3 linked regions of the Stegostoma tigrinum genome follow. The protein of the gene in region 1 purifies or fractionates together with the protein of each later gene. This does not show direct contact. Links are inferred from orthologs where the notes say so. Each region holds a gene or a part of one and is shown in the gene's direction. Other genes may lie near its edges.

Evidence for each region.
Region 2: the proteins of ociad1 (region 1) and mtch2 purify together in Homo sapiens (affinity purification with mass spectrometry; 3 studies listed by BioGRID and IntAct, with this or other methods). This does not show direct contact. The link is inferred for Stegostoma tigrinum from reciprocal best matches to the Homo sapiens genes OCIAD1 and MTCH2.
Region 3: the proteins of ociad1 (region 1) and sodium- and chloride-dependent creatine transporter 1-like purify together in Homo sapiens (co-immunoprecipitation; 3 studies listed by BioGRID and IntAct, with this or other methods). This does not show direct contact. The link is inferred for Stegostoma tigrinum from reciprocal best matches to the Homo sapiens genes OCIAD1 and SLC6A8.

What each region holds. Positions count from the first base shown.
Region 1 is NC_081354.1:106,037,882-106,048,578, forward strand, and holds the start of ociad1 (OCIA domain-containing protein 1), read left to right. Parts: upstream 1-6,650; 5' UTR 6,651-7,059; coding exon 7,060-7,137; intron 7,138-7,146; exon of another isoform or gene 7,147-7,491; coding exon of another isoform or gene 7,492-7,503; intron 7,504-10,697. UniProt on the Homo sapiens protein: Maintains stem cell potency. Increases STAT3 phosphorylation and controls ERK phosphorylation. May act as a scaffold, increasing STAT3 recruitment onto endosomes. Involved in integrin-mediated cancer cell adhesion and colony formation in ovarian cancer.
Region 2 is NC_081370.1:11,614,487-11,624,874, reverse strand, and holds the start of mtch2 (mitochondrial carrier homolog 2), read left to right. Parts: upstream 1-6,202; 5' UTR 6,203-6,308; coding exon 6,309-6,398; intron 6,399-10,388. UniProt on the Homo sapiens protein: Protein insertase that mediates insertion of transmembrane proteins into the mitochondrial outer membrane. Catalyzes insertion of proteins with alpha-helical transmembrane regions, such as signal-anchored, tail-anchored and multi-pass membrane proteins.
Region 3 is NC_081364.1:1,690,807-1,700,619, reverse strand, and holds the start of sodium- and chloride-dependent creatine transporter 1-like, read left to right. Parts: upstream 1-4,850; 5' UTR 4,851-5,090; coding exon 5,091-5,121; exon of another isoform or gene 5,122-5,201; intron 5,202-9,813. UniProt on the Homo sapiens protein: Creatine:sodium symporter which mediates the uptake of creatine. Plays an important role in supplying creatine to the brain via the blood-brain barrier.

The sequences.
Region 1 (10,697 bases):
ACCAGAATGCAGAAACTCATTTGAGGAATTGCCACAAAGGCTGTATTATGGTGTAATAAATGGAGGGCGCGAAAGAGAAGGTTCTCTGCCAGTAAGTTATATTTAAGGAAAAGTTGCATTATTATTTACAAGTAATTTTTGCTGTAAATAAAGTATACTGGTGATGTGTATACCCCCTGTATTTAACATTGATTTTGTGGATTTTTTGATTATCTAGAATATTTGATCAACTGGCACACTCCGAGTCCCACAGGTTCCTGCTGATAAAATGTCTGATGTACTTACTTAGAAATTTGGTATATATCACATAACCAACACAAGGAAATGAATATATCATTTATCTAAACAGTTATGGTTTAAAATAGGCTCAATTTTAAACTGTACAGACTCTTATGATTGTATTATGTTTTAGGATAATTACAATTACCCTATTGCAACCTAAAGCTGACAATGAAAAGCTGATCAACAAAATCTTGCACATATACATGGGTCCAGTTTCTCTGCCAAGAGCCCTCAAAGTCTCCACTTAAATCAGAGCCTTCAGAGAAATCAAGAAATCAGAAGAAATCAAGTAGCAATTCAGGAAATGTTAGACGTAAAATACATAGTAATTTTGAAATGATACAACAGTTTTCATAGAAGTTGATTTTATGTCTAATAATTGAAGAATCAAAAACAAGATGATTTATAATAGACTGCAAGTAACGCTGCTCATGCAGAGAGATGCAACGCTGTGAAATTCACTTCCACGGTTCCTGATTGAGGCAAAACTATGGCTGCATTCAAAATTAGCCAAATAAATGAAGGAAAGGGAGACTAAGAGATATGGAAACAAATCAGGTAAATGAAATTGAAACTATTGATTCGTGTGGAAAGTAAACAAACATCAAAAGTGGTTGAAACAAGTACACATTGAATATAGTAGGCTTCCATGTTGCAACTTCTGTGTGGGTTCAGAACATTAAATCCTGAGATTTCCAAGTAACAGTGAGATATTAATTTACAGTTACTGCTCTAGCATGGTGTGACTTCAAACTATTACAATTTGAAACTGTATTTGCTGTCATGCTTCCAACAGCATTAGATGTTAAAATGTAGGAGCAAAAGTCAGCCATTCCATTCAGAGTCTGTTCCACCATTCACAGGCTGATCTGATAATCCTCAACTTCACTTTCCTGCCTTAGCCCAACAATTGGTTATCTTACCAATTAAAAATTTATCTCTCATAGTTTTGAATATACTTAATAACCTAGCTTCACAGCTCTCGACAGTCAACAAGTCCATAGATTTACTGCAGATTTAGAAAAAAAAATTCCTCCTCATCTCGGTCTTTAATAGATGATCCCTTACTGAGACTACATCGTTTGGTCCTAGGTTCTTTCACAAGGGTTAAAAACTCTTCCCAAATCAAGCACCCTAAGAATCTTACACATTCTAAGTTACTTAAGGTCCACATTCTCAAGTTTCACCACAAATGGGTCAAGCACTAAGCCTGTGTCTAACACAGTCATGAAATCCTTTGCATCTTCTACCAGTGATGACATCAAGCAGTACCTGGAATGAGTGTTCTGACAAATAAAATAACTAGGGTGGTAGAGAGGTCTTTAAACGAAATAGGAGAGAAGGAAGACTTAGGAGAGGGGAAACAAAGTGAGGATATAGTGACATTACCGGTCAGCTCTTCGAATAACTATTCCCAGAGTGAGAAAGGAAGGCATAAAGTGCACAACATAGAAAAATGATAGTTCGGGGTTGGGGGCGGTGGATCTGCTGCAAAGACAAAACGAATACCTCTTTACTAACAAAATAAACTAATGACACAAATATAAGTACATGAGTATGGTCTTATAGTCAATACAGATATATGGTTTCAAGGAGATCTAAACGGAGCTAAATATTACGACAGAGATAGTGGGAACTGTAGATGCTGAAGAATCCAAGATAATAAAATGTGAGGCTGGATGAACACAGCAGGCCAAGTAGCATCTCAGGAGCACAAAAGCTGATGTTTCAGGCCTAGACCCAGATGAAGGATCTAGGCCTGAAACGTCAGCTTTTGTGCTCCTGAGATGCTGCTTGGCCTGCTGTGTTCATCCAGCCTCACATTTTATTATCTTAAATATTAGGACATGTGGTATTTTGAAAGAACAGACCGAAAGGAAAGGGTGGTGGGTAGTATTGTTAACAAGGGATGAACTAAGTACTATAGCCAGAAAATATCAAAACATGCAGAATCCATATGGGTCGAAGTAAGAAGTAACAAGGGGATGGTGACAATGATAGGTATAGCCTATGGGTGTCTTAACAGAAACAATTTGGTCAGAATTAGAATAAATCAGGAGATAATGAAGGCATGTAAAAAGGTAGAGCATTATTCATGTGTGACTTTCATCTTCATGTAGATTGGGGTAACTTGATCTGCAGATGTAGACACAAGGAAGAATTAATAGACAATTTGGGTCAGTTTCCAAGAACAATATGCTGTGGATTTAACCAGTTATCAGGCTTACTTTGGATCTGTTGATGTGTAATGAAGCGAGTTTAATAAATAACAATAGAGTAAAAGACCACCTAGAGAACACTGACCATAACAAAAACTGAAAAAAAACAGCAAATCAAACAAAAATAGAAACTGCTGGAAAAGTCTCAGCAAATCTAGCAGCATCTGTGGAGAAATCAGAACTAACGTTTCAAGTCAAGAGACCCTTTCTCAGAACTGACCATAACAAAATAGAATTTAGCATTCAGTTTGGGGGAAAGAAATTTGCACAAGAAACAACTGTGCTAACTTCAATAAAGGTAATTACAAAGCTAGGAGGGTTGGGTTAGCTGGAGACGACTCAAAAGGATTTTAGCAACAAAGATGGTTGACGAACAATGGCAGAAGTTTAAGAAAATATTTTAGTGGCTCACAGAAAAGACAAAGAAAGAAAGGTAATGAGAAGGTGAGAAACCAACCATGGTTAACCAAGGAAGTTAAGGCTAGCATCAAATTGAAAGAAAAAGCTTGCAATGTGGCAAATGTTAGCAGCAAGCCAGATGATTGGGAAAGTTCTAAAAACCAACCAAAGACAACCAGAAGATAATAAAGAGGTTAAATATAAACTTTGAAGGTGAACTTCCAATCGTTTTGGGCCCTTTATCCAAGGAAAAATGTACTGGTAGTCCACAGAAGGTTCACTAAGCTGAACCCATGCTTGGAAGAATTGTCTTCTGAGAAGAGCTTGAATACATTGGGCCTGTACTCATTTGAGTTTGGAAGAAACCTTATTGAAACATACTCAAGTCTTGGGGACTTGACAGGTTAAGTGCAGAACATGTTTCCCCTTGTGGAAAAATCTGGGACCAGAGGGCATAATCTCTGAGTATGGGATCACCCTTGTAAGATTGGGCTGAGGGGGATTTCTTTCCTATCAGAGAATAGTAATTTGTATATTTTCCTTTTACCATAGAGGACTGTTGAAGCTATGTCATTAAGTATATTCAAGGCTGAGATAGACAATTTTTTAATCAGTAAGGGAATCAAGGATTTTGGGGAAATAAAGCAGGAAAGTTGAGTTGAGGATTTTAACATCAGTTAAAACTTAATGAATGGCAGAGCAGCCTGCTTCTGATCCTTGCACTATGGTATATACGTTTGTGTACGTAAAAATGCAGTTACATTAATGGTAATATGTAAAAAGTTTTCATATTCAAGTTGCTCTGTCCTACAAGCTGCACTCTAATGTATAAAATAGACATATTCAGCAGTAAGGGAACTGAATAATTTTGAGATAACACGGTATACAGCTGGATGAACACAGCAGGCCAAGCAGCATCAGAAGAGCAGGAAAGCTGACGTTTCAGGCCTAGACCCTTCAGGCCCGAAACATCAGCCTTCCTGCTCCTCTGATGCTGCTTGGCCTGCTGTGTTCATCCAGCTCTACACCTTGTTATCTCAGATTCTCCAGTATTTGCAGTTCCTACTATCTCTGAATAACTTTGAATTGCTTTCAACAGAATGCAATATTTCTCTGAAACACAGTAGAAAGCCCCATCAAGATGCACATGAGACTTGGACAAGTGTAAACTATAACATGGGTCAAGATATTTAAAATGTGTAAATTTTGATTCTTACATCAAACACAACAAAAAAAATGTATTTTTAGTGCCTTTTATGATCCTAGAAAGTTCCCAAAGTAGCTTGCAGCCAATTGAGCAGCTTTGAAGTGAAGCTGTTAAAACGTGAAATGTAAACCTAGGCCCAAAGACTTTGTTTGTATTAAAGGAGCTATTTCCAACCATTCCAATACAGGTCAAATTCACTACTGTCAAATAAACCTCTTACTTCAGAGGATGATCATTCAAATATTTTAGCACAAAATTTCTACTTTTCCAATTTATTTGCATTGGCTCGTGCAAATTATTTGGTGTTTGAAATTTTTAAATTTAAAAATATCTGATTTATCAGAACTATGTACCGTGAATTTTTGAGGGTGTCTCAGTGGCATTAAATCAAAATACAAATCCAACATGCTCCTTTCAGAAGAGTACAAATAATAGGAATTCAAATCATGAACGGCAAAGATGGTTTAGCAAATTCTATAATAAATCCACCAATGTCCCACAGCATCTTTGGCCCCTGAAGTCCGAATTGTCAGAGATAGCCTCCAGTACACCATCATGATTGGATAAGGGGGAACGTGATTGAAATGTATAAAATTATCAGGGGCATAGATAAGCATAGGCAGGAAGAAACTTTTTCTGCTTGATGAACTAGGGCACAGATTTAAGGTACAAGGGGATGAGGAAAATCTTTATTGCCAAGAGCATGGCAGAAATCTGAAACTCAATGCTTGAAAGGTGGTAGAGACAGAAATCCACGTAACATTTAGGTATGCTTTTGCAATGGATCAAGTGCTGGGATAAGAATAGTTAGATGGTTGGGTCTAGATGTTACGGGCAGAAGGGCCTTTTTATGTGCTACAGATCTCTATGGCTCTAGAATAAGTGACTCAACATCCTTTTCTGCTGGGCCACCTGAATATAGTGGATGTCAGTCAAATACACTTTTGACCAGTACTCTATTGTAATTTTGCTAAAAGACAGAACAATAGAATTGACACAAGTAACGACGTTTGCTATTGACATCATGCCATCTTCAAAAGTAGAAAGTGAAACAACCGAAGGCAAGAGGGCCTCCGAATTACAAATGCAGCACCATTTATCTCCAATAGTAAAATATAAAGTAAAAACAAAACATGCAGGAAACACGCAGGTCAGGAATTATCTGCGAGAAGCATAAGGTAGAATTAATATTTCAAGTCCACAGCCGTTCGTTTATGCACGTTTTATTTCCGATATTATTTTATGTTATAGGTGGAAGAGTCTCACACACAATCAGACCGAGGATAGTAAATTCTTGAAGCTCACAAATCAATCAAGTATTCACATTCACACGCAGAAGTTAGGAACAGAACAGCTCTGATGAAGAGGGATAACAAGGTGTAGAGCTGGATGAATACAGCAGGCCAAGCAGGAAAGCTGACGTTTCGTGTCTGGAGAACGAAGAAGGGTCCAGACCCGAAACGTCAACTTTCCTGCTCCTCTTATGCTGCTTGGCCTGTTGTGTTCATCCAGCTCCACACATTGTTATCTCAGATTCTCCAGCATCGGCAGTTCCTACCAGCTCTGATGAGAAGTCGTCTAGACTAGAAATGTTAGCTTGCTCTCTCTCCATGGATGCTGTCTGATCCTCTGTGACCTCCAGCATTTGTTTTCAGTTCAGATTCCAGCATCTGCAGTAATTTGTTCCTACAACCCAAGAACCTACCGACATCAGGACGGCAATTATTTGCGTTTGTATGACAAAAAATCATCTCAATTTACTTCACAGGAGTTTTATCAAACAAGATTTGACAGCAGAGATTTGACTTGAAGAAGTCGGTTTATAGAGCGGCTAGAGACGACGAGGAAGAAATGTTGAGGAACGGAAATCCAGAGTTTAGAGATTCGCATACTCACATCAAAGCCAGATGAACTCTCCCACTCACTTCCCATACCTCTGTTCAGGCAATCTCCCTCAATCGTCTCACTCACACACACACACACACACACACACACACACACACACACACACACACACACACACTCAGCATCCACACCGAATAGCTTTGTTCACTTCAGGCCTCACGCTCATTCTCAGGCGCTTTGTTCACCCTCTTTCCAATTGCGCCTGTGGAGTTCGTCTATGAAGCGAGTGGGCAAGACCTGGCCTGTCGCCTGCCGTAGACTCTCCCCGTAAACCAAGTGAAGTTGGATCCTCGTCTCCCCTACCTGTGGAGCCGCGGAGCTGGTGTCTATCCAAAGGAATGGTACCTACTCACTCTCTCGGGGCATTCTCTGTAAGGCTTTCACTCTAAATCCGGAAGCCCCTGACCGCCGCGTCCCCGCCCGTTTACACGCCACTCGCGTTTTTCCCCCCCTCCGTGACAACCGGACTCGTTCCCACGTTGGTCCTGCCCCTGGTCTCACCGGATTGGTGCACTGACGTCAGGTCAAGCGGCTCGCTGCTGTGAGACGGATTGTCTATTGATCGTGAATGCTGTCAATCACCTAGTGTCACGGTGCCTTCCGGCCATATTCGTTTCCTATCTGCCGTTAGATTAAGGGCAAACGAGGAAGTGTGTATAAAAACTGAGATACAAGCATGAAGCGGAGTCTTTATTTTTGTAAAAATGTTTCTTATTCGCACCTTTACTGCGTTATTTGATATGGTTTTCCTGATTTTGGCTGTAGTCCGAACGTGTGCAGTTCAAAGTGTTTCCATATCTGATAACATAAATCAGTCACCGAGAGCATCATTATCTTGTAGCTAGTATGAACCAGGAGGACTGTGGTTGGCTCGGATATTTCTTCCTATTCGACGGTGCGGGCATGTGATACCTTAGCCTCAGTCAGAGCTTTCGTTTCCGGGATCGTGGTCGCTTCAAAGAAATGCTTCCGGGGCTTGTTCAGGTTGATCGTTAGGCTGAAGGCGGTCGCGTGCTGTGACCGTTAACGGCGCGAGCTTTCGCGGGGATGGAGGAGGAGCAGCCCGACCCTGGCCCTGGACATGACCCCCATCCCACAGCCCCACACCGGCTCGGCTCAATTCAGGTATCCGCTAAAGGACGGGTGTGACATTGGGAATCAGTGGAGGCCGCTTTACGGACCGATTTCTGAGAGGCACGTCAGTGCTGCCGGGAGTGATCGGATAACCGGCTGCTTTCTCCTGGACCGCGGTCTTGCTCCTCTTCCACCACCACCCAGGGCAAGAGGAGAGCCGAGCTTCACCTTGCCTCATCAGCTGCCGCTGATATCTCAGTCCTCAGCACGCTAGCACGGTCACCCTTTGTCACCCTGGATGAGGTGGTGGACGATTTGTTAAACCTCATACCACTGTTCCAGGCTTTATTCCCTCCAGAACAGCCCTTTACTAGTAATTTTCACTGCTGCTTAGATGGAAACTGGATGGAGATGGAGGTATGAACATATGGAGGGATTCCCCAGCCATCGGTTGTTGCGCCAGGGAGGCACCATTGTATCGCCAAAATGGACAAGTACACATATAGCCACTTGCGCTCCTTGTGCCAAATTTTTGTTGTTTCGCTTAGCCTGCTCGTGTCCCTTGATGGTGTTCCTACCTTACTTTCCTTTCGATTTAATGTAATCAGCAAATTTCCAAACCATACGTTCTGACTCTTTATTAAAGTCATTGATAGAGAAGGTAAACGTTCCCGGCCCAGCATTATTTAATAGAGCAAAGGGCTGTTCGGTGCTGAGATTTTTTAAGTCTGCACCAACAGTGAGTTAGCAGTCGGAGATCTTTGTCGTTGGTATCAACGTGCACATAGGCAGAAACAGGAATGGCCTAAGGCTATCTCTTAATACTCTATTAATAGGCATTTTTCTTCAACAGAGCAACCCCATCACCTTTTTTTTGCCCACTCCTGTTCCAATATTCCATTCAGCCCCTCAAGCCTCTTCCACCATTCGGTGAGATTATGGCTGACATCTGGTCTATCTCCAAATACCTGCCTTTGACTCATACTTTTTGGTTAACACAGATGTATCTATCCCAGATTTAAGATTAAGGACGGCATACCATTGCATACTTTTCCCACCTTTCTGAAATGTCAAATATGCTTCAATATTCGGGTACCTGCGTTGCACCCATGCCTCTTGAATGGCTATCGGGTCATATAAACTAATTTCTGTTTGTGCTAGCAAGTTATCCATTTTGTTACAAATGCCACAGGAATTCAAGTAGCATTCTTCCAGTGTCTCTCTTCACCCTTTTAGTAATCTGTGACCTTAACTGCCATTGCAACCTGGGTCCTGCTTTCTAATTTAGTATGTAGCTGCCTATACCCCCTTTCCTCCTTCTGCTATGTTGTAAGTACTCATGCAGTCTACAGTCATTGAAATCTTCCCCCTTCTCTCGTCCTTACAAACTCTGTTACTGGGCAGAAAACAACCATCTGGACTTGTTCTCTTAACTACTGAGAACTGTGTCTATTCCCCTGATTACACTGCCCCCTACTACCACCGCATTCCTGTTTACTCCACCATTTGGACAGCTTCCTGTGCCATGATCAACTCGTTCATCCACCGTGCGGCCCAGTACTACCCATACAGGCTGAAAGAATCTCAAACCTTTTGGAGAATTGGAATGGAGAGGCTCTGGTCTTTTTGATCCCCTTGCCTTCCTTGTGTCACTCACAGCAAAACTCCCCCAGTCTCTGACAATTGCTCACCTCTAATGTTCTGCTTAGTCCAAAGACTTGTCACAGCCTGATGGATCAAAGTGTCCACATCAATTTTTCTGTTCCACCATTGTGTATCTCAATTTGTGTACCTCACTTGATTCCTTTTGAAGTCTGCAGACTTTTCCCAATTTCTTCCCCTGTAATTCAGTCTTCCAACACTTAATCAACTGTGTGGTATTTCTCTGTACGGTTTCAAGGCCTGTTGTATTTCCTTCTGTTTGACTGGCAAGGACTAAACACAATTTTACAAACAGCCTTCAATGTCATTGCTGTCTCTGAATCTAATTTTATATCTCTGTCAAATATTTTGTTGCAATTTAAAGTAATTGGTTCTATATGAAATTCGGAAATAAGATGTGTTATCAGACAAGTCTCAATTTGTTTTATCAGCAGCTGCACAAAATATGCACACCTTGCAGTTCCTAACATGAGGAAGAAGATGATCACATGAAGTTTTATATAAATCTATTACAAAATATCGCCTGGTATTCAGTCAAATACTAGGTTAAGTAATGTAGTTGTGTCGTTGGGCTCAGCATTCAGAATCCTACATTAGTAATCCTGTCATGACCAAGTGAGGCCTTTCCTCTTATCACCCCTGTCTCAGTCGATCATAACAAAATATTTTCATTCCATTTGGCACACAGCTATCACGTGATTAAACACAGTTACTAGGCCAGAATGAAGAAGACCCTTTTAAGAATTTCCTGAAAGAGGAATTTTACTCCTACTGACCTTGAGGCAAAAAGAGTGACATCAAACACATGCAAATATGGATAATCTGTCTGTCTGATCCAGACAAGGGATAAAGATTGTGTAGGAGAGATCTTGAGGTGTTATAACCGGAGACCATGTTTATTGTTTAATTTTTGGAAATAACCTCAGCAATGGCAAAGAATTTAGGTATTCTTGAATTCTTAGTGAACAGTCTTTGGACTTTGGGGAAAATTGCAACACGTACAATTGATTGGTTGCCTGCTGAACAGACCTAGGACTGAATTCCTTGCAGGGCATTTTGCTGGTGCTGTTGGCAGGACCTTAAACAAATTTTAAACTTGGCAGCAGTGTGGGAACCAAGACAGAATGGTAGACCAGGATTCATAAAGTACTTGAGATGCACTTTCATGAGCATAGAGAATAGCAATTTAAGAGGTGATGTAAGGGCTAAATAAATGAAATCTAAATCGGTGTTAAAAGCAAAATACACAGGTGCTGTAAACCTGAAACAAGTACAATGCTAGAAAATCTCTGGTCTGGCAACATTTGAGAAGAGAAATAAAGTTAGCATTATGAGTATGGTATGTATCTTCTTTAGAAGTTTTAAGTCACTGTTGGGTAGGTTGTTGACACGGTCCTGGGATCAGATGAGGTGCATCCAAGGACTTTGAGTGGAAATTGCAGAGGCACTGGCTATAATCGTTCAGTCTTCCCTAAAGTTGGGAGAGCTACCACAAGACTGAAAAATTGCAAATATTACATCCTTGATCAAGAAAGGTTGTAAGAATAAGCGCAGTAATTACAGACCAGTCTGTTTAACTTCAGCATTGGGAAACTTTGAGACAATTATTTGGAAGAGAATAAGTAGCCAAAAGGGAAAGGGTGGGTTGATTGGACAGAGTCAGCATGGACTTCTAAAGGAGTAATCATGTTTAATTAACTTGCTGGAGTTTTTTTGAAGAGGTGACGGACTCCAAGAGGGTAACGCTGTTGTGGTGGATACGGACTTTCAGAAGGTGTTTGATATAGTACAGTAAAATGCCCTTGTAGGAAAGGTTTCTTATATCTCATGGAATAGAAGAGTAAATTGTAGTATGATTACAGAATTTTCTGTGTAATACTAAGCAGTAGTCATCTGTGGGAGATAGCAAGATCTGCACATGCTGGAGTCAGAGACAACAGTGTGGAGCT
Region 2 (10,388 bases), on another chromosome or scaffold:
TCCCCACAACACACACACACAAGCCCTCCCCCACCGACACAAACACACAACCCCTCCTCCCCAACACTCTCACACACCCTTCCCACGGACACCCTCCCCCCAGCACAAACCCTCACCACCACACACACACAACTCCTCCCCCCCGACATACACGACCCCTCCCTCCCCCCCCACATACACAAACCCTCCGCCCACACACACCACCCCTCTCCCCTACACACACACACCCTCTCCCCTAGACACTCACCCCTCCCCCCTAGACACTCACCCCTCCCCCCCTAGACACTCACCCCTCCCCCCTAGATACTCACCCTCTCCCATACACACACAGCCTCCCCCCAACACACACACCCTCCCCCCAACACAAAGCCTCCCCCCCAGACACTCACCCCTCCCCCCTTGACACCCACCCACACCCTCCCCGCCACTCACAACCCCTCCCCTCCACATACAACTCCTCCCCTCCACATACACCCTCCTCCCCCAACACATGCACACCCCCTACCCCCCACACACACACAACCTCCTCCACCAACACACACACACCCCCTCCCCCCAAAACAAACAGAACCACTCCACCTCCCCACACGCACAACCATTCCACCCCCCTCCCACCCAACACACGCAGACCCCTGCCCCACACAAACACAAACCCTCCCCCCCACACGCACAACCACTCCACCCCACCTCCCCTCTCTCCCCCTCCCTCCCCTCCCCCGCTCTCGCCCACCTCCCTCCCCTCCCCCGCTCTCACCCCCTCCCCCTCCCCCCCCTCTCTCCCCTCCCTCCCTCTCCCCCTCCTCCCCAAAGCTCTCTCTCCCCCTCCCCACTCTCTCTCCCCCTCCCCCCTCTCTCTCCCCCTCCCCCCTCCCTGCCCCGCCGCCCCTGCCCCTCCCCCCTCTCTCTCCCCCGCCTTCTCTCTCCCCCCTCCCCCATCTCTCTCCCCCGCCATCTCTCTCTCCCTCCTCCCCCATCTCTCTCCCCCCTCCCATCTCTCTCCCCCACCTCCCCCATCTCTCTCCCCCGCCTCCCCCCCTCTTTCCCCCATCTCTCTCCCCTGCCTCCCCACCTCTCTGCCCCCCTCCTCTCTCTCCCCCCCTCCTCTCTCTCCCCCTCCCCCCTCCCACACCCTCTCCCTCCTCCCCTCTCCCCCACCTCCCTCTCCCCCCGACATCTCTCCCTCCGTCTCTCTCCCCGCCTCCCACCTCTCTCCCCCGCTCCCACCTCTCTCTCCCCACTCTCTCCCCCCCCCTCCCTCCCTCTCCCCCATCCCCCTCCCCCCTCCCTCTCCCCCCATCCCCCTCCCCCCTCCCTCTCCCCCATCCCCCTCCCCCCTCCCTCTCCCCCCATCCCCCTCCCCCCTCCCTCTCCCCCCCCCCCTCCCTCTCCCCCCATCCCCCTCCCCCCTCCCTCTCCCCCCATCCCGCTCCCCCCTCCCCCCTCCCTCACCCCCCTCCCCCCTCCCTCTCCCCCCCCTCTCCTCCCCCTCTCCTCTCCCCCACCTCCTCTCCTCTCCCCCACCTCCTCTCCTCTCCCCCACCTCCCTCTCCCCCTCCCCCCTCCCTCTCCCCCTCCCCCCTCCCTCTCCCCCTCCCCACCTCCTCTCCCCCTCCCCACCTCCTCTCCCCCTCCCCACCTCCTCTCCCCCTCCCCCTCCTCTCCCCCCTCCTCTCCCCCCTCCTCTCCCCCTCCCCCCCTCCTCTCCTCTCTCCCCTCCTCCTCTCACCCCCCTCCTCTCTCCCCCACCTCCTCTCTCCCCACTTCCCCCCTCCTCTCTCCCCCGCTCCCCGCTCCTCTCTCCCTCCTCCTCCTCTCCCCCCTCCCTCTCCCCCACTCCTCCTCCTCTCCCCGACTCCTCTCTCCTCTCCCCCCCTCCTCTCACCCCCCTCCTCTCTCCCCCTTCCCCCCTCCTCTCCCCGCTCCTCTCTCCCCCCTCCTCCTCCTCCCCTCCTCCTCTCCCCCACTCCTCCTCTCCCCCCTCCTCGCTCTCTCTCCCTCCCCCGTCCTCCCTCTCTCCCCCCCGTCCTCCCTCTCTCCCCCCCGTCCTCCCTCTTTCCCCCGTCCTCCCTCTCACCTCCCTCCCTCCCTCTCTCTCCCTCTCACCTCCCTCCCTCCCTCTCTCTCCCTCCTCCCTCTCTCTCCCTCCTCCCTCTCTCCACCTCCTCCCTCTCTCACCCTCCTCCCTCTCCCCTCCCTCCCTCCTCCCCTCTCCCCTCCCTCCCTCCTCCCCTCCCTCCCTCCTCCCCTCTCCCCTCCCTCCCTCCTCCCCTCTCCCCTCCCTCCCTCCTCCCCACTCCCTCCCTCCCTCCTCCCTCCCGCCTCCCCTCTCCCCCACCTCCCTCTCTCTCCCCACTCCCCCTCTCCCTTCTCTCTCCCCCCTCCCCCTCTCCCTTCTCTCTCCCTCCCCTCTACCCCGCTCTGCCCCATCCTCTTCTCCTCCTCCCCCCCCTCCTCCTCCCCCCCCTCCTCCTCCCCCCCCCCTCCCCCGCCTCCTCCTCCCCCCCCCTCCCCCCCTCCTCCTCCCCCCCCCTCCCCCCCCTCCTCCTCCCCCCCCCTCCCCCCCCTCCTCCTCCCCCCCCTCCCCCCCCTCCTCCTCCCCCCCCCTCCCCCCCCTCCTCCTCCCTCCCCCCCCTCCTCCTCCCCCCCCCTCCCCCCCCTCCTCCTCCCCCCCCTCCTCCTCCCCCCCCTCCCCCCCCCTCCTCCTCCCCCCCTCCCCCCCTCCTCCTCCCCCTCCCCCCCCTCCTCCTCCCCCCCTCCCCCCCCCCTCCTCCTCCCCCCCTCCTCCTCCCCCCCTCCTCCTCCCCCCCTCCTCCTCCCCCCCCTCCTCCTCCCCCCCCCTCCCCCGCCTCCTCCTCCCCCCCCCTCCCCCCCCTCCTCCTCCCCCCCCCTCCCCCCCCTCCTCCTCCCCCCCCCCTCCTCCCCCCCCTCCTCCTCCCCCCTCCCCCCCTCTCCCCCCCTCTCCCCCCTCCCCCCCTCTCTCTCCCTCCCCCCCCCTCTCTCTCCCTCCCCCCCCCCTCTCTCTCCCTCCCTCTCTCTCCCTCCTCCCTCTCTCCACCTCCTCCCTCTCTCACCCTCCTCCCCTCTCCCCTCCCTCCCTCCTCCCCTCTCCCCTCCCTCCCTCCTCCCCTCTCCCCTCCCTCCCTCCTCCCCTCTCCCCTCCCTCCCTCCTCCCCACTCCCTCCCTCCTCCCTCCCGCCTCCCCTCTCCCCCACCTCCCTCTCTCTCCCCACTCCCCCTCTCCCTTCTCTCTCCCCCCTCCCCCTCTCCCTTCTCTCTCCCTCCCCTCTACCCCGCTCTGCCCCATCCTCTTCTCCCCCCCCCCCTCCTCCCCCCCCTCCTCCTCCCCCCTCCCCCCCCTCCTCCTCCCCCCCTCCCCCTCTCCCCCCCCCCTCCCCCCCCCCTCCTCCCCCCCTCCCCCCCCCCTCCTCCCCCCCTCCCCCTCCCCCCCCTCCCCCTCCCCCCCCTCCCCCCCCTCCCCCTCCCCCCTCCTCCTCCCCCCTCCCCCTCCCCCCTCCTCCTCCCCCCTCCCCCCCGCCCCTCCTCCTCCCCCCTCCCCCCCGCCCCTCCTCCTCCTCCCCCCTCCCCCCCGCCCCTCCTCCTCCTCCCCCCTCCCCCCCGCCCCTCCTCCTCCTCCCCCCTCCCCCCCGCCCCTCCTCCTCCTCCCCCCTCCCCCCCGCCCCTCCTCCTCCCCCCTCCCCCCCGCCCCTCCTCCTCCCCCCTCCCCCCCGCCCCTCCTCCTCCTCCCCCCCCTCCTCCTCCTCCCCCCCGCCCCTCCTCCTCCTCCCGCCCCCGCCCCTCCTCCTCCTCCCCCCCGCCCCTCCTCCTCCCCCCCGCCCCCCCTCCTCCCCCCTCCCCCCCGCCCCTCCTCCTCCTCCCCCCCGCCCCTCCTCCTCCCCCCTCCCCCCGCCCCTCCTCCTCCCCCCTCCCCCCCTCCTCCTCCCCCCTCCCCCCCGCCTCCTCCCCCCTCCCCCCCGCCCCTCCTCCTCCCCCCCCGCCCCTCCTCCTCCCCCCTCCCCCCCGCCCCTCCTCCTCCCCCCCGCCCCTCCTCCTCCCCCCCCCGCCCCTCCTCCTCCCCCCCCCCCGCCCCTCCTCCTCTCCCCCCCCCCTCCTCCTCTCCCCCCCCCCGCCCCTCCTCCTCTCCCCCCCCCCCGCCCCTCCTCCTCTCCCCCCCCCCTGCCCCTCCTCCTCTCCCCCCCCCCGCCCCTCCTCCTCCCCCCCCCTCCCCTCCTCCTCCCCCCCCCCTCCCCCCCGCCCCTCCTCCTCCCCCCCCCCTCCCCCCCGCCCCTCCTCCTCCCCCCTCCTCCCCCCTCCGCCCCTCCTCCTCCCCCCTCCGCCCCTCCTCCTCCCCCCTCCTCCCCCCTCCGCCCCTCCTCCTCCCCCCTCCTCCCCCCTCCGCCCCTCCTCCTCCTCCCCCCCCTCCCCCCGCCCCTCCTCCTCCTCCCCCCTCCCCCCCGCCCCTCCTCCTCCCCCCCCCTCCCCTCCTCCTCCCCCCCCCTCCCCTCCTCCTCCCCCCCCTCCCCTCCTCCTCCCCCCTCCCCCTCCTCCTCCCCCGCCCCTCCTCCCCCCCCCTCCTCCTCCCCCCCCTCCCCCCGCCCCTCCTCCTCCTCCCCCCTCCCCCCCGCCCCTCCTCCTCCCCCCCCCTCCCCTCCTCCTCCCCCCCCTCCCCTCCTCCTCCCCCCCCCTCCCCTCCTCCTCCCCCCCCTCCCCTCCTCCTCCCCCCTCCCCCTCCTCCTCCCCCGCCCCTCCTCCCCCCCCCTCCCCCTCCCCCCTCCTCCCCCCCGCCCCTCCCCCTCCCCCCTCCTCCCCCCCGCCCCTCCCCCCTCCTCCCCCCCGCCCCTCCCCCTCCCCCCTCCTCCCCCCCGCCCCTCCCCCTCCCCCCCCCGCCCCTCCCCCTCCCCCCCCGCCCCTCCCCCCCCGCCCCTCCCCCTCCCCCCCCGCCCCTCCCCCTCCCCCCCCCGCCCCTCCCCCTCCCCCCCCCGCCCCTCCCCCTCCCCCCCCCGCCCCTCCCCCTCCTCCCCCCCGCCCCTCCCCCTCCCCCCCCCGCCCCTCCCCCTCCCGCCCCTCCCCCTCCCCCCCCCGCCCCTCCCCCTCCCCCCTCCTCCCCCCCGCCCCTCCCCCCTCCTCCCCCCCGCCCCTCCCCCCTCCTCCCCCCCGCCCCTCCCCCCTCCTCCCCCCCGCCCCTCCTCCTCCCCCCTCCTCCCCCCCGCCCCTCCTCCTCCCCCCCGCCCCTCCTCCTCCCCCCTCCCCCGCCCCTCCTCCTCCCCCCCGCCCCTCCTCCTCCCCCCGCCCCTCCTCCTCCCCCCGCCCCTCCTCCTCCCCCCTCCCCCCCTCCTCCCCCCTCCCCCGCCCCTCCTCCTCCCCCCCGCCCCTCCCTCCTCCCCCCTCCTCCCCCGCTCCTCCTCCTCCCTCCTCCCCCGCTCCTCCTCCTCCCTCCTCCCCCGCTCCTCCTCCTCCCTCCTCCCCCCTCCCCCCCCGCTCCTCCTCCCCCCTCCCCCCCCGCTCCTCCTCCCCCCTCCCCCCCCGCTCCTCCTCCCCCCTCCCCCCCCCGCTCCTCCTCCCCCCTCCCCCCCCCGCTCCTCCTCCCCCCTCCCCCCCCCGCTCCTCCTCCCCCCTCCCCCCCCGCTCCTCCTCCCCCCTCCCCCCCCCCCGCTCCTCCTCCCCCCTCCCCCCCCCGCTCCTCCTCCCCCCTCCCCCCCCCCGCTCCTCCTCCCCCCTCCCCCCCCCCGCTCCTCCTCCCCCCTCCCCCCCCCCGCTCCTCCTCCCCCCTCCCCCCCCCCGCTCCTCCTCCCCCCCCGCTCCTCCTCCCCCCTCCCCCCCCCCGCTCCTCCTCCCCCCCCCCGCTCCTCCTCCCCCCCCGCTCCTCCTCCCCCCTCCCCCCCCGCTCCTCCTCCCCCCTCCCCCCCCCCGCTCCTCCTCCCCCCTCCCCCCCCCCGCTCCTCCTCCCCCCTCCCCCCCCCCCGCTCCTCCTCCCCCCTCCCCCCCCCCGCTCCTCCTCCCCCCTCCCCCCCCCCGCTCCTCCTCCCCCCTCCCCCCCCCCCGCTCCTCCTCCCCCCTCCCCCCCCCCGCTCCTCCTCCCCCCTCCCCCCCCCCGCTCCTCCTCCCCCCTCCCCCCCCCCGCTCCTCCTCCCCCCTCCCCCCCCGCTCCTCCTCCCCCCGCTCCTCCTCCCCCCCGCTCCTCCTCTCCCCCGCTCCTCCTCCTTCCTCTCCCCCGCTCCTCCTCCTTCCTCTCCCCCTTCCCCCTCTCCTCGCTCTCTTCCACATCCCTCCATGTTTGACGAATTTCCGGCTCCGGCCGTGCGCTCTGAGCCATGATGGCGGATACCAGGAGTCAGTTGTATCTGGGCGCGGGGCTGACGGTCTTCTCCCACCCGCTCATGTACGTCAAGCTGCTGATTCAGGTCAGAGAGTCCAGGGAATGTGTCTGTATGTGAGGGACAGCGGGAGAGAAGGAGTGTGATGGTAGGGGGTCAGTGATATGGGGGCGAGTGGTGATGGGGTTGAGGAAGCGCGCGCGCGCGCGTGTGTGTATGTGTATATATGTCGGGGGACCAGGGCATGCCTGTGTCTGTGAATGGAAGTAGGGGGAAGTGTGGTTTGGGTTCGGGTTGGGGGAGGGTGTGCTGTGTGCGCGCGCGGGAGAGTGAGAGGTGGGGACTGGGGTTTGTCAGTGTATGTGTGTGAGAGAGACAAGTCGGGGTTCGGGCAATGTATCTCTGTGATAGAGGGGGCAGAGGACTGGGGAATGTGTCGGCTGTGTGGAAATGGATTGTATGAGAGGTCGTGATGTGGAGGCCATGGTGGGTGTGGATGAGTGTTCTGGCTATGGGGCAGTGGGGAGCACAGTCTCTGAGTTTTCTCAGGCATGTGGGCTATGTGTGTGTTTGACGTTGTTGGTTTGCAAACGATCAATCGTACAATGTCATCAGCCATGATTGATTGGCGGTGCAGACTCGAGGGGTTGAATGGCCGAATTTCTTCTCCTATGTCTTATGGTCTTATATAGTTTGAACTGGAAAGTACAGGGGAAGTTTAAGGAAACAATGTTCTATATACTATTCACAATATACAACAAGTGACTTTGGAGAGCTTTGTGCATCAAAGTTTTTCGAGAGACACGAGAGTGGAGGTAAATTCTTCTAATTGTTGAGCAAACAGACCTGGAAAACCCTTATGGATCTAGGTTGCAAATAGCCTCAGGACTGACCAATTGGGTGAATTTTCAATACGCACCTAGAAGCTATGAGCAGTTCCTGGTCAGATGCAACAGTCACAGCTTGGATCTGACCGTATCACTTTAGATATCTTTCTCAGTACAATAGTTTGTGAGCCCCTGACAAAATTTCAAATATCAGACCTCTTGACTTTCACCTAAATCTGTTTTCGGTATTTCCTATTACTGTGGGATTGACAACAACGTGAGCTCGTTGACACGAAACTGAAGGAACTCTTGAGAAAGATGGCACATTTTACTCCAAAGTGTTTTCCCTGTTCTTCCAATCACATTTTATGTATATTTAGTGATTAAGGGGATATAGTGAGATTGAAAACATTGAACTGTTGTTGTCTTGTTTGACAAATATGATTATTGGAGACAATTCTGTTTTTGAGTTTATTGAAAAGCCTAGTGAATGTCTGTTTTATTCTATTTGACATTTGTAGCACTTGGAAGGCTTTCAATAAGTATCAAAATAAGAGGTTAGCATGTAAAATTAAAGTTCATAGGATTGGGGGTAGTGACCTGGAGAGAGAACTGGTCGGCAGACAGGAAGCAAAATAGGAATAAACGGAACTGTTTCTGAATGGCAGCTAGTGACTATCAGGGTACAGCAAGGATCAACTATTCACAATATGTATTAATGATAAATAGGTGAGGGAACTAATGTAATAAATATTTGCATATAACCCAAAGCTGGATGGGAGGGTGAACTCTGACGAGGATGGGAAAGTACTTCAGTTATGGACAAGTTGACTGAGTGGGCATTTGCATTGCAGATGAGGTTAAATGTGAGGATATCTGCTTTGATAGCTGGAACAGGAAAGCAGATTATTATCTGGCAATATATTGGGAAAGATGAAGGTGCAATAAGTCCTGGGTGTCCTTATATACCAGTTGCTGAAAGAAAACATGCCAATGCAGCAGGTGCTAAAGAAAGCAAATGGAACGTTGGCTTTCATAGCGAGATGACTTGAGTACGTGGTTAAGGATGTGTTGTATGATTGTACAGGTACTTGATGTGACGACATCTGGAGTATTTTGGTCTCCTTTTTGGAGGGAGCAGGTGTAACAGGTTTACCAGACTGATTCCTGAGATGGTAGGACTAATGTATCAAGAGAGATAGGATCACTGAGGAGTAGATTCACTGGAGTTTGGAAGGAGGAAGAGAGTTTTCATAGAAACCTATACAATTCAGAGTTTGAGAGGAGCAATCAGACTCAGTGACCTGCTGTGTACAAGTCTATGTGACATCAAGTAGTGCTGATAACCCGAGCCATCCGGACAACACTGTTACACTTGAAACACATTCAAGTAACTTTTATTCAGAAGAAGCTGAAAATGGTACAGTGACACAATAATGTTTGAGTGAGACCCGTACTTAGTATAAAACAGTACCTTCAAATAACTGGCAGTTTCTCTTTCAAAGTCATGAATGCCAGTTTGGGTAGTGTAGCTGTGTACTCAGCCCCCTGCCAAAGTTGCCTCCTGCCTGTGGCAGATGCAGCAATCCTGTCCAGGTTCACACTAGGTAGTTGGATTTCCAATTCCACAATGTGGCCAGAAAATGCCAGAGTATATGGGAGAATGCCACTAATTCTTTGTGATAGAGATGGCCTGGGTTTAACTGCCTTGTTTGATCCAGTCCATGATGGTGGAGGAGTTGGGGAAAATGTCAGGGCAGATGGATTTGTTCTCCTTGCAGAATCTTGTCTTGTAGAAGTAGTGCATGTCACTGGGTTTTGCCTGGGACAAGCACTCAGCAAAGGCCCTGTCACATTCACATGACATCCTGGTGCACACAGTCTGGCCCTTGCACTCCGTCTGTGCCCTCTTGCATGTGAAGTTGTACATACTCCACTTAACTTGGCTGTGACAGCCCAGTATCACTCTGGTGTGGTAATAGCAGCAGTCATGGAGAAAACAGCACCGGTCCACTGGGTCAACAGGCCTACTTGAGCCCCCTGTCCCACAATAGCAGCCATAGTTGTGGAGCTTGAGGAGGGAGATTCCCAGTTTGGAGCGGTAACACCACAGAGTCATGGCCATGTCGACGAGTCCTCGCCGCTGTCGGATTGCATCAGGATGCAGTTTAGCTTGGGGGCACAGGCATAACCAGATGATTGCAAGTAGAACCATCACTAAGAGTCTGCTCGTCCTCATCCTCCTTATGTTCCCCAGACTGTTGCTACTCTGTGTTGTCCTGGTTTATATCAAGCCCTGTATTTCTTCCCTCCCTTTCCTGGCATCATGTGATCCCTGGCCCAGCCCCCATCTCACATTGGTGTTCAAGTTTCATTTTTGATGGCTGTGCTTCCCAAGGAATTTCGTTCTAAATATTCATTTTAGCAGGACTGTTCCAAGTACAGACAAAAAAACAGTTTCTTTTTTACTTTGGATGAAAGGATTTTAAAAATGGATGATTGTAGGTATGGCTGTATCTAAAATTAGTTGCAAGCAGTGTTTAAACAAATGTAGTGAATGTTTCCTGTTCTATCAAAATGCACTCAGTCTCTGTGTCTTCCATTGCTACCATCCCTTGCTGTTCATTATTATCTGATTAACAGATTAATTTTTTTAAAATCAGGATTAGAGTTTTATGTCTTAATAACTGTCAGTGTCTGTCATAGATTCATAGACACAAACAGCGCAGAAAAGGCCCTTTGGCCCATTGAGCCTGCACCAACATAATTACCACTGAAAGTGCACTAATCCCAATTTCCTGCACTTGTCCCATATCCAAATGTTATGATATCCAAATGATATTTGAAGTGCTCATCCAAATATTTTTTAAAGGTTTCCAGCCTCCACTACTTTCCTAGGCAGTGCATTCCAGATTCCCACCACCCACTTAATGAAAATGTTTTCTCACCAAATTCCTTCTGAATTTCTTGCCCCTTACCTGAAAACTATGCCACCTCATGATTGACCCCTCAACCTAGGGGAACAGCTGCTGTCTGTAACTGCCCATAACTTGCAATCATGCCCCTCCATATCTCCGTATTCTTTGCTCTGAAGACAACAATCCCAGCCTATCTGGTCTCTCCTTCTAGCTCGGTTTCTCCATCCCAAGCGACATTTTGGTGAACCTCCCCTATACCCCCTCTAGTGCTATCACATATTTCCAGTAATGAGTTAATCAGAGCTACACACAGTACTCCACTTGTAGCCTGA
Region 3 (9,813 bases), on another chromosome or scaffold:
AGGAAGCGCTGTTACTTATCCTTACCGATTGTGGTCTGTGGGATCAGGAAGCTGAGGATCCAGTTGCAGAAGGTCTTAGAGTTTGGAGATTAGTTTGGTCGGGATTAAGGCAGAGCTGTCGGCAAGATTTGAAGCCCTACATAGGTATCTTTATTATCCAGATGTTCCAGGGATGAGTCCAGGGATAGGGGAATGGTGTCTGCTATGTACCTGTTCCACTATTACGCAAATTGTTCTGTATCCGTGGATCCCTATCACAAAACAACAGATGTTTTGCATTTTGCTTTGTCTTAATACACAGATTTTATTTTCCTTTTTTTAAATTCATTCAGAGGATGAGGGCGTCACTGGCCAGGCAGCATTTATTACCCATCCCTAATTGCCCAGAGGGCAGTTCAGAGTCAACCACATTACTGTGTTTGCTGGGAATGGCAAGCCTCATCTCTTCACTGCAGAGAACGTCCAACCTCGTTACACAGGAGCAAACAGGCCTCCAGACTCCCAGGAGCAAGCTGTGGAGACCAACACACATAAAACAATGAGACAGGAGCAGGTGAAGGCACTCAGACAGTCAGTGTCGCTGGGGGGAGGGGGTGGGGACCCTGTGACAGTGTCGCTGAGGGGAGGGGGTGGGGACCCTGCGACAGTCAGTGTCATTGAGGGGAGGGGATGGGGACCGTGTGACAGTCAGTGTCGCTGAGGGGAGGGGGTGGGGACCGTGTGACAGTCAGTGTCGCTGAGGGGGGGAATGGGGGCCCTGTGACAGTCAGTGTCGCTGAGGGGAGGGGGTGGGGACCCTGTGACAGTCAGTGTCGCTGAGGGGGGGAATGGGGGCCCTGTGACAGTCAGTGTCGCTGAGGGGAGGGGGTGGGGACCCTGTGACAGTCAATGTCGCTGAGGGGAGGGGGTGGGGACCCTGTGACAGTGTCGCTGAGGGGAGGGGTGGGGACCCTGTGACAGTCAGTGTCGCTGAGGGGAGGGGTTGGGGACCCTGTGACAGTGTGAGTGAGGGGAGGGGATGGGGACCCTGTGACAGTCAGTGTCGCTGAGGGGAGGGGGTGGGGACCCTGTGACAGTGTCCTGAGGGGAGGCGGTGGGGACCCTGTGTCCTGAGGGGCGGGGGGGGGTGGGGAACCTGTGACAGTGTCTTGACGGGAGGGGGTGGGGAACCTGTGTCCTGAGGGGGGGGGGGGGTGGTGGGGACCCTGTGTCCTGAGGGGAGGAGGTAGGGACCCTGTGTCCTGAGGCGGGGGGTGGGGACCCCATGACAGTGTCCTGACGGGAGGGGGTGGGGACCCTGTGACAGTGTCCTGAGGGGAGGGGGTGGGGACCCTGTGTCCTGAGGGGGGGGGGACCCTGTGACAGTGTCCTGAGGGGAGGGGGGGGGGACCCTGTGACAGCGTCCTGACGGGAGGGGGTGTGATGAGGACCCTCATACAGAGGCAGCGAGACTGGCAGCCGATCTGTCGGGGACTCTGTGACTCTGACAGGAGCAAGAATAATATTTTTGTGGTAATACGGGTAAAGAAGACGCAGTGATCCATTTCTATTCAGTTAGGGCCTGCCTGGGGAGCTCAGGCCTGTGATTTGCACAGTGTGCACCAAGGACCCCTTGGTCTGGATGAGTCTGTGCAGGAGATGCCTGTGGCTGGAATAACTCCCCCCCGGCCCCGGCCCTCCAACCCCGGGTTATAGAGTGGGAGCAGTTATTGTGGGAACTTCAGGGCATTGACCAGGCCGAGGGTTTCAGGATGGAGTCACCCTCGAGCTTAAGGACATGCGGGTAGAGGGGCAATGCCAGGCAGAAGAGTGCACGAGGCACAAAATGAGACAATCGCCTGAGGGATTGTATTTCAACCTCAGAGAGCAGAGGGAGAAGGTCCAGGTCCCTCTGGAGTCATGCTTGGAGCAGAGTCCTCAGCACTGCAGGTGCTCCAGCTGCCTGGGTGAGGGTGCGGGTGTGAGGGGGGTAGTTTAGCAGCAGTAATCATGACTCCAGGACAGTAAGCCTCCTGGGCACCAGGGTTAAGGAGGCCACACAGTTTGTCTGCAGAGCTGTCTGACAGGCGAGGATGACCTGCCAGAGACGATAGTTCCAGTGACAGAGAAATGAGGTGCTGGAATCAGCCTTTTGGGAGTTAGTTGGAAATCGAAATGCAGGATTTGTGAGGTAACAGTCTGGATTACTCTCAGTACCATATAGCAGCGAATGTAGGAATGGGACAACAGAGGAGGTGAATGGATGGCTGGTGCAGGACAGAGCACTTTAGATTCCTGGGGCATTCCGACTGTTTCTGGGGGAGGAGGGAATTGTACAAGTTACGTGTGAACAAGAACATGACTAACACCCTTGTGGAATGGTTGGAAAATGTTGCTGGGGCTGTTTAAGCTGGATTGGCAAGGGCATGGAATCCTGAGGAATAACTCAGAGGCAGCGAGGCTGAGATGGAGTTCAAAGTTAAAACACAAATAAGTGAGTCTGGAAGGTAGTAGATGTAGATAAAGAAGTGAATTTAACAAGGATACATGGAATATATTTTAATACAAGGAGCCTGAGGAATAAGACAATGAGCTGAGGGCACAGACAGGTATGTGGGTTATAATACTTGGCAGAAAGATAGGCAGGACTGGCAGCTGTACCTTCCTGGTACTCCTGGGTATTCAGGTGTGGTACAGAGGAGATTAGAAGATGGAGAGGTGCTGTAATATTGATCGAGGATCAATGCTAGGTGTGAGGAGGGAGGGCATTTTGCACAGATCATTGGGCAGGGCCTTATGGGTAGAAGTGAAGCCACAAAGGGGCAAACATGCTGTTGGGTGTGTACTACAGCAGCCGCCCCCCCCCCACCCCCACCCCAGTCAGGGAGAGATACTGGATACATTTATAACCACATTTCAGAGACATGTCAGAGTAACAAGGCAGTAATAGAAAGGGATCCAACTCTCCGATAGCAATTGGGATAGTTTCAGTGGGAAAGGCAGGGAGGGTACAGCATTGTCCCATCATTAAACAGGGGAGGAAGGGGTAGTCCAGGAAATCCCAGACCATTCATTCTGGGGAAGTGATGGGGAAGTTATCAGACAGAATTGAACATTTGGAGAGAGCTGGATTAATCAGGGAGGGTCAGCGTGGGGTCATTATGAGAAGGCCGTGTTTGACGTATTTGTTGAGGAGGTAAACAGGAGGGTTAATGAGGGTGATACATCTAATGTGTCCAAACGTGCTTTAGTGAGGCCCTGTGTAAACAGTGGGACTGTATAAAACACTGGTGAGGCTCCAGCTGGAGTGCAATGTGCAGCTCTGGTCACCACACTATCTGAAGGATGGGATTGCACTGCAGCAACTGCAGAAGAGATTCACCAGGATGTGGCCTGGGATTCAGGGACTGAGGGATGAGGAAAGGCTGAATAGACTAGGACTGTTTTCCTCAGAACAGGGAGGGTTGAGAGGGGATTTGATAGAGGTGTACGAGATTATGAGGGACATGGACAGGGTGGATAGGAAGGCACTTTGTCAGGAAATAGAGGGTATAGATTTAAGGACAAAAGGTCAAAGGATAAGAGGGAAGTTGATGAATTTTTTTTCACCCAAAGGGTGATGGAGTCTAAACCTCACTGTCTGTAAAGGTGAATGAGTTATAAACTCTCAGAAAATTTAGCAGTATTTAGATATTGACTTGCATTTTCATAGACTCGAGAGCTATCAAACAAGAGCTGAAGGATGAAAATAGTATAGTCAGACCGGACGGACTGAATGGTCTCTTGTGCTGTATACATCTGTGAGTCCATATCTCTCCCTTCTTAATACAGAAATGACAAACTATCAATTCAGATTACCTTCTCTGTTTTTAATATTATCTATTATCCTGATATGGCTCCCCAGCTGTTTTATTCCCAGCAACATTCCGATGATTAATCTTTAATTCCTAGAGACCACATCTGGTTCTAGGAACAGCTGCTTAAAGCGGATCTGAAAAAAAGATAGAGAAAGGAATATTAGGGGACAGAGGGAGAGGAGTCTATGTAGTGTACAAACACCAGGAGCAACGTGTTGGGCTGAATGGCCTGTTCCTGTTTTGTGAAACAGCGGAATGTACTGCCTGAAGGGACACTGCGAGCAGGTATGATGTTCATTGTCAAAGGGGGAGAGGATGAACATCTGATGGGAACAGTTTTACCGGGAACAGGTTGGGGTGGAGGGAGGGAAGGTGAGATGGAGACAGAATAATGGGAAAGCTCTTGCCCAGGGCTAGTATAAAGATTTGCATGTTAGAATGGATTGACCGCGGGAAATGCAGGGTTACAGGGTCTGGGATAACAAAGTGTGGGGCTGGATGAACACAGCAGGCCAAGCAGCATCTCAGGAGCACAAAAGCTTTGGGTCCAGGGTCCAGGGTCTGGGTGGGATACTCTTCGGAGGGTCGTTGTGGACTCGACGGGCCGAACGGTCTCTTTCCACACTGTGGGGATTCTAAGATTCTTGTACAGTCCCTGTGAGCCGAATGGCCTCCTCCCATTCAATGAAATTTGTCACGTTCTGTGGCGGTGCGTGTTTCTGGATCAGAATCAGACATCACCAACATTTCCAAATATGGAGATTTAGAATCGGGCTGGAGAGGTTTGGTTAAACCAGGGGCTTGTAGTGGGGTGCTTACTGAGACCCTTAGTGCGTCCAGGGTCTCCGGCTCTCACTGTGGTTTGACCACTGCGTTGAGGTGGCGCCTGGCTGCGCCTGGTCCATGCGCTGACGCCCAACCGGGGGGGCTGGACCCAGGCTGAGAGCAGCCAATGGGGCGGCAGTAGGTTGGCCCTGACCTGACGCTGTCTCTATGTAAGGACTGGCAAGGAGCCGGTTCCCCTGCATACAGCGTCTGATGGAGAAGGGGGTTATAGACGGCTTCAGCCCTTGCTCCGTTTCGGCTCCGCAGCCCCCCAGTGCCCCTCCTGCTGTGCTGAGCCTCCTCTCTCCGCCCAGCCTCCAGCTTCCATGAGATTTTTTAGGCTCACCTTCAAGTGTTTTGTGGATTGCTTCTGAAATCTAACGACCTATTGACTTTGTGTTCAAATCATCTCAGTCCCATCTTTGCACCATGTTATCAGCCTCAACACAGCTTCATTCAGGTGGGTAATGCTTCCACACGCACGCAAGGTGTCACTTTCGCTTTGAGCTGCAATGTAATCGAGTACTGTCTAAACAAAAGCACAGCCTCTCTTAAATATATCCGGGTTTTATGACTAAAATCAGCAGGTAGGGAGGGGGGGGGAGAGAGAGAGAGGGAGCTGTACTGTCTGTTAACCAGGGGTTTGTATTCAGTGAAACGAAGCCTGTTTTAAGATGGTGTAGCCCTCGACAGTGAGAGAGTGAGTGTAACAGAGCTGGTAAAGAGTGAGTTCCCTTCTGTAAGGTTCTGAGAAATAGTGGCTCTTCTATTGAAAGCAGTCTTACCCTTTGGTGAACTTAATTTTATTTAATTTTTAAAAATAAACAAAATTGCTAAAAGTCACGTGCCCTCAAAATAGCTGCCTTTTATCACAAGCCGAATGCACTCAGGGGCTGAATGTTGCAGTCATACAGTCATTGATGGAAGCATACGCTTTGGTCCAGGCTGACCAGGGTTCCCAAATTAAATCAGTCCCATTTGCCTGTGTTTGGCACATATCCATCTAAACCTTTCCTATCCATGCACCTGTTCAAATATCTTTTAACTGTGGTAACTGTACCTGCTTCTGCTACTTCCCCTGGCTTATTCTGTAAGTCACTTCCACAGGTTCCAGGTTATTCTGGGCTTAAAGTGCTGTCTGGGTGACTTTTACACTCCCACACTGCAGTACCCTTCAATCTGGCTCTTTGAAAATCCACCAGCTGTGGTCAGCACTAGCCCAGGTGCCCACCCCCTCTCAGCAAACACCAGTTTCCATTCACTTTGTTCTCCTTTCCTCCACCCACCCCCCCCCCATATTTTTCTCCTCCCTAGCCCCTTGCTCACCTGCTGTTGGGGGGGAGGGGGGAAATGGGGAGAAGGGTGTGGGAGATGCATGTTTCTCTCAATTTTATACAAATGTGAAAACAGAAGTTTGGTGTGAAATGTCAGGGATTGGTGGCTTAGACCTCCTCGTTGTCTGAACACAGACTGGGGGCTGTCAACTGGAATATGCTGCATGATCCATGCCCCCTCTGACATGGAAATGCTCTGAGCAGATTCCAGAGAAACATGGCTGATTGCAGACCTGGCAAATGGCTGTGAATGGGGTAAAGCTGCAGGCCAATCTGGCAGTGCTGTGTCCACGTCGCTTTGATAAAGTGGCACATTTTGAAGGCAGTTCAAAAACCACGTTGTACCCTTGGCTGTAGTCAAAGAAGCACTAAACAGTTGGTGAAATTTTATAAATCACTGGGTTAGGCTATGGATTGAGAATTGTTTGGTTCTGACTGTTTCTACTCACTCACCCCCCCCCCCCCCCCGGCCTTGGAAAGATTATCGTGGCCTTGGAGGGGGTTTACGATAAAGGGACTGGGGCTGAGGATCTGCAGTAATTGTGCAGAGTCTGTGGGACTGTGTCCATCAGAAGGCTAACAGCAGATTGAATGGAAGTGCTCAACATGGAGAGGGTTTTCTCTCTGGATCAATTGAAACAAGCTGCCTCCTGTTGGAATGGTCAGTCTCCAGAGGGAGACTTTTTAAAGAAAAACAGCAAAAAGAGCCCTGGGTGGGGGCAGACGGGGAGAATTTTTAACCATGCAAGTGGCTGTGATCTGGAATGTGCTGCCTGAAAGGGGTTGGAAGCAGGTTCAACAGGAACCTTGGAGAAATAGTCACAAAGGACACATTGACTGATGGGGATATGGGGAGAGTGCAGAGGCGGTGCATTAATTGGAATTCCAGGGGTCACTTGAAAAATGTTTCATTCTGATTGGTAGGGAAAAATGATTTGCAGGAGATAGTAAGAACTGCTGATGTTGGAGTCAGGGATTACAGTGTGGAGCTGGAGGAACACAACTGGCCCGGGCAGCATCAGAGGAGCAGGAAAGGTGATGTTTTTGGTAGAGACCCTTCAGAAATGATTTGCTTGGGTTTGGGGGAAGTTAAAGTTTAAGCCTGAGGCTGTTCAGGGTGGATTGAGGACCATATCTTCAAGAAAGCTGTTCAGGTCTGAAATCAGAATTTCAGGACTGGTTCTGAGTCTTGACCTGGGACAAGAAAGTGACTGGAACCATTGGGGTCATAAGATACAGGAGCAGAATTAAGCCATCGTGCCTGTTGAATCATGGCTGGATCAGACAGGCTAAGGCTGGAATTAGGAAAGAGTTTGACAAATCAATCCACCCAACCCCTAGGTGGGGCACTGGACAACTTTGGGTGGGGGTGGGGGTGATTCCTGGACCCCTCCCAAACTGGGAAGATACCAATGTCTTTCCACTTAATTTACACACTGCCTGACTGAGCTGGAGGTGCTGTGTGTGATAGGGCAGTGTGGTGGGAGTTTACTGTATTTAACCCTGTGCTGTCCCTGTCCTGGGAGTGTTTGGGGTTAGTGTAGAGTGACCTTACTTTCTCTACAAAAGAGTAGAGCTGGCTAATGTGCCGATGCCAGTCAAAAACAACCTCCCTGCTATTCTAATCCCATTTTCCAGGACCTCTCCCATAGCCTTGTATGGCTTCGCATTGCAAATGCACATCTAAATCCCTCTTAGATATAGAGGGTTTCTGCCTGTCCACACATTTTACAGCCAGTGAGTTCAGGATTCCTGCCACTCATGTATCTGCTTTAAACCTCCTGCCCCTTAACACTTAAATGACCAGGGAAGGTTTTGGTTTATCCTTCCACCAAGGGGGATGTGTTTGTTCTTGCCTGTGTCCCTCAGTTTTATACATCTCCCCTAACACCAGTCTGCCCAATCTGTCTTTTCTACCTGAATGGTGGAGCAGACTCAAAGGGCCAAATGGCCTATACTGTTCCTATGTTCTATATTTCTATGGAACTGTGCAGCCCCCCAAGATAATGTCCTGGTAAACTTCCTCGTACCATCTTCAGTGCTATTGCATCCCTCCAGTAATGTGGATTCCAGAACTGCACACCATACTTGAGCTGTGGCCTGACCAACATTTTATACAGATCAAATATCACTTCAAACCGAAGGAACTACACTTGCTGTAAATCAGAAATGAAAACAGAAAATGGTGGAAAATCCCAGGTCTGGCTGCATCTGTGGAGAGAAAGCGGAGTTAACATTGTGGGCCCAGTGACCCTTTGGAACAGAATTTTCATTTGCAAACACAACACACTGATCAAACGTCCTACATTCCTGTTTAAATACAGGCTGCAAATAACTGACCCCTGTGAAATTCCACTGGACATAGATGTCCAGCCAGAAAGAACACCCATATTTCTTACGTAGCGACAGGAGTAGGGTGCTCAGCATTGAGACTGCTCTGTGCTCTGCCTATCAATGTGATCATGGCTGATCCAACATTCTTTAATATACTATCCTACCCTATCTCCACAATCCTGGATTTCCCTGACTGAAGAATTTGTTGATCTCAGCCTTAAATATACACAAGGAATCTGCCCCCTCAGCTGTGACAAGGGATTTCAATGGCCATCAATCCTCAAAGGGAAGTCCTCCTCATCTCAGTCTTCAATTAGCAGCCCTTTATCCTAAGACTGTGCCTTCTGGTCCTAGACCCTCCCATGAGGGAAACATCCTCTCCGCATTTACTGTCAAGCCCCTTTAGAATCTGATCTGTTTCATTGAGATGACCTCCCATTCTTCTAAACCCCAGTGAGCAGAGTCCTAACCTGTTTAACCTTTGCTCTTAAGGCAATCCCTCCATCTCAGGGATCATCCAGCAAACCTTCTGTGAACAGCATCTAATGAAATGTTACCTTTCCTGAATGAAAGGAACCCAAAACTCACTGTGCTCTGGATGTGCTCTCCCCAGCACCTTGTACAGTTGCAGTAAGATGTCTGTGCTCTTATACTCCAACCTCTTTCAAATAAGGGGCTAACATTCCATTACCCTTCCTGATTACCTGCTGTACCTGTGTGCTAGCTTTGTGTTTCATTCACAAGTTCCCCTGAGTCCCCTTGTGTTGCAGCTTCCTGTGTTTTTCTCATTTCAATAATACTCATTCTTTTGTTCTGCCATCCAAAATGAACAGCTTCAATTTTCCCACATTAAACGCCATTACCCACTTCCTTTATCCATTCCCTATCAATACCTCTGGAAACTGTTTGTGTCCCCTCTCAACCTGCCTTTCCACCTTTTTCTGTCATCTGCCAATTTGGCTATAGTGCATTCACTTTGTCTCTCCATTAATGTTGGAAACAGTTAGTCTCAATACTGGTCCTTGCAGAATTCCACTGGTCACACTATCCGTGTCAGATAAACAGCACTCAACCATCACCCCTGCTTCCTGCCATCCAGCCAATTCTGAATCCAATTAGTCAAATTTCCTTCCATCCCACAGACTCAGTATTTTGGTGTCAATCTCCCATGTGGTCCTTCTGAAAAGCCTTGCTGATCTCCAAGGAGACTACATCAGATATATTACTGTCTGGTCACCTGGGTGGAAAAATCAATCCAGTTGGTCAGAAATGACCACTCCCTAACAAAACCATTCTAATGTTGTTTAATGTTGGTGCCTCCAAATGCAGATTAATTCTGTCCCTCTGAATTGCTTCCAAAATTTCCCCATAGCCAAGATTTGATTGACTGGTCTGTAGTTTCCGGGTGTATCCCTTACTCTCCTTGAATAATGGTCACATTGTGTTTTTTTTCCGATGGGGTCAGTCAACGTAGAGAACGTCTT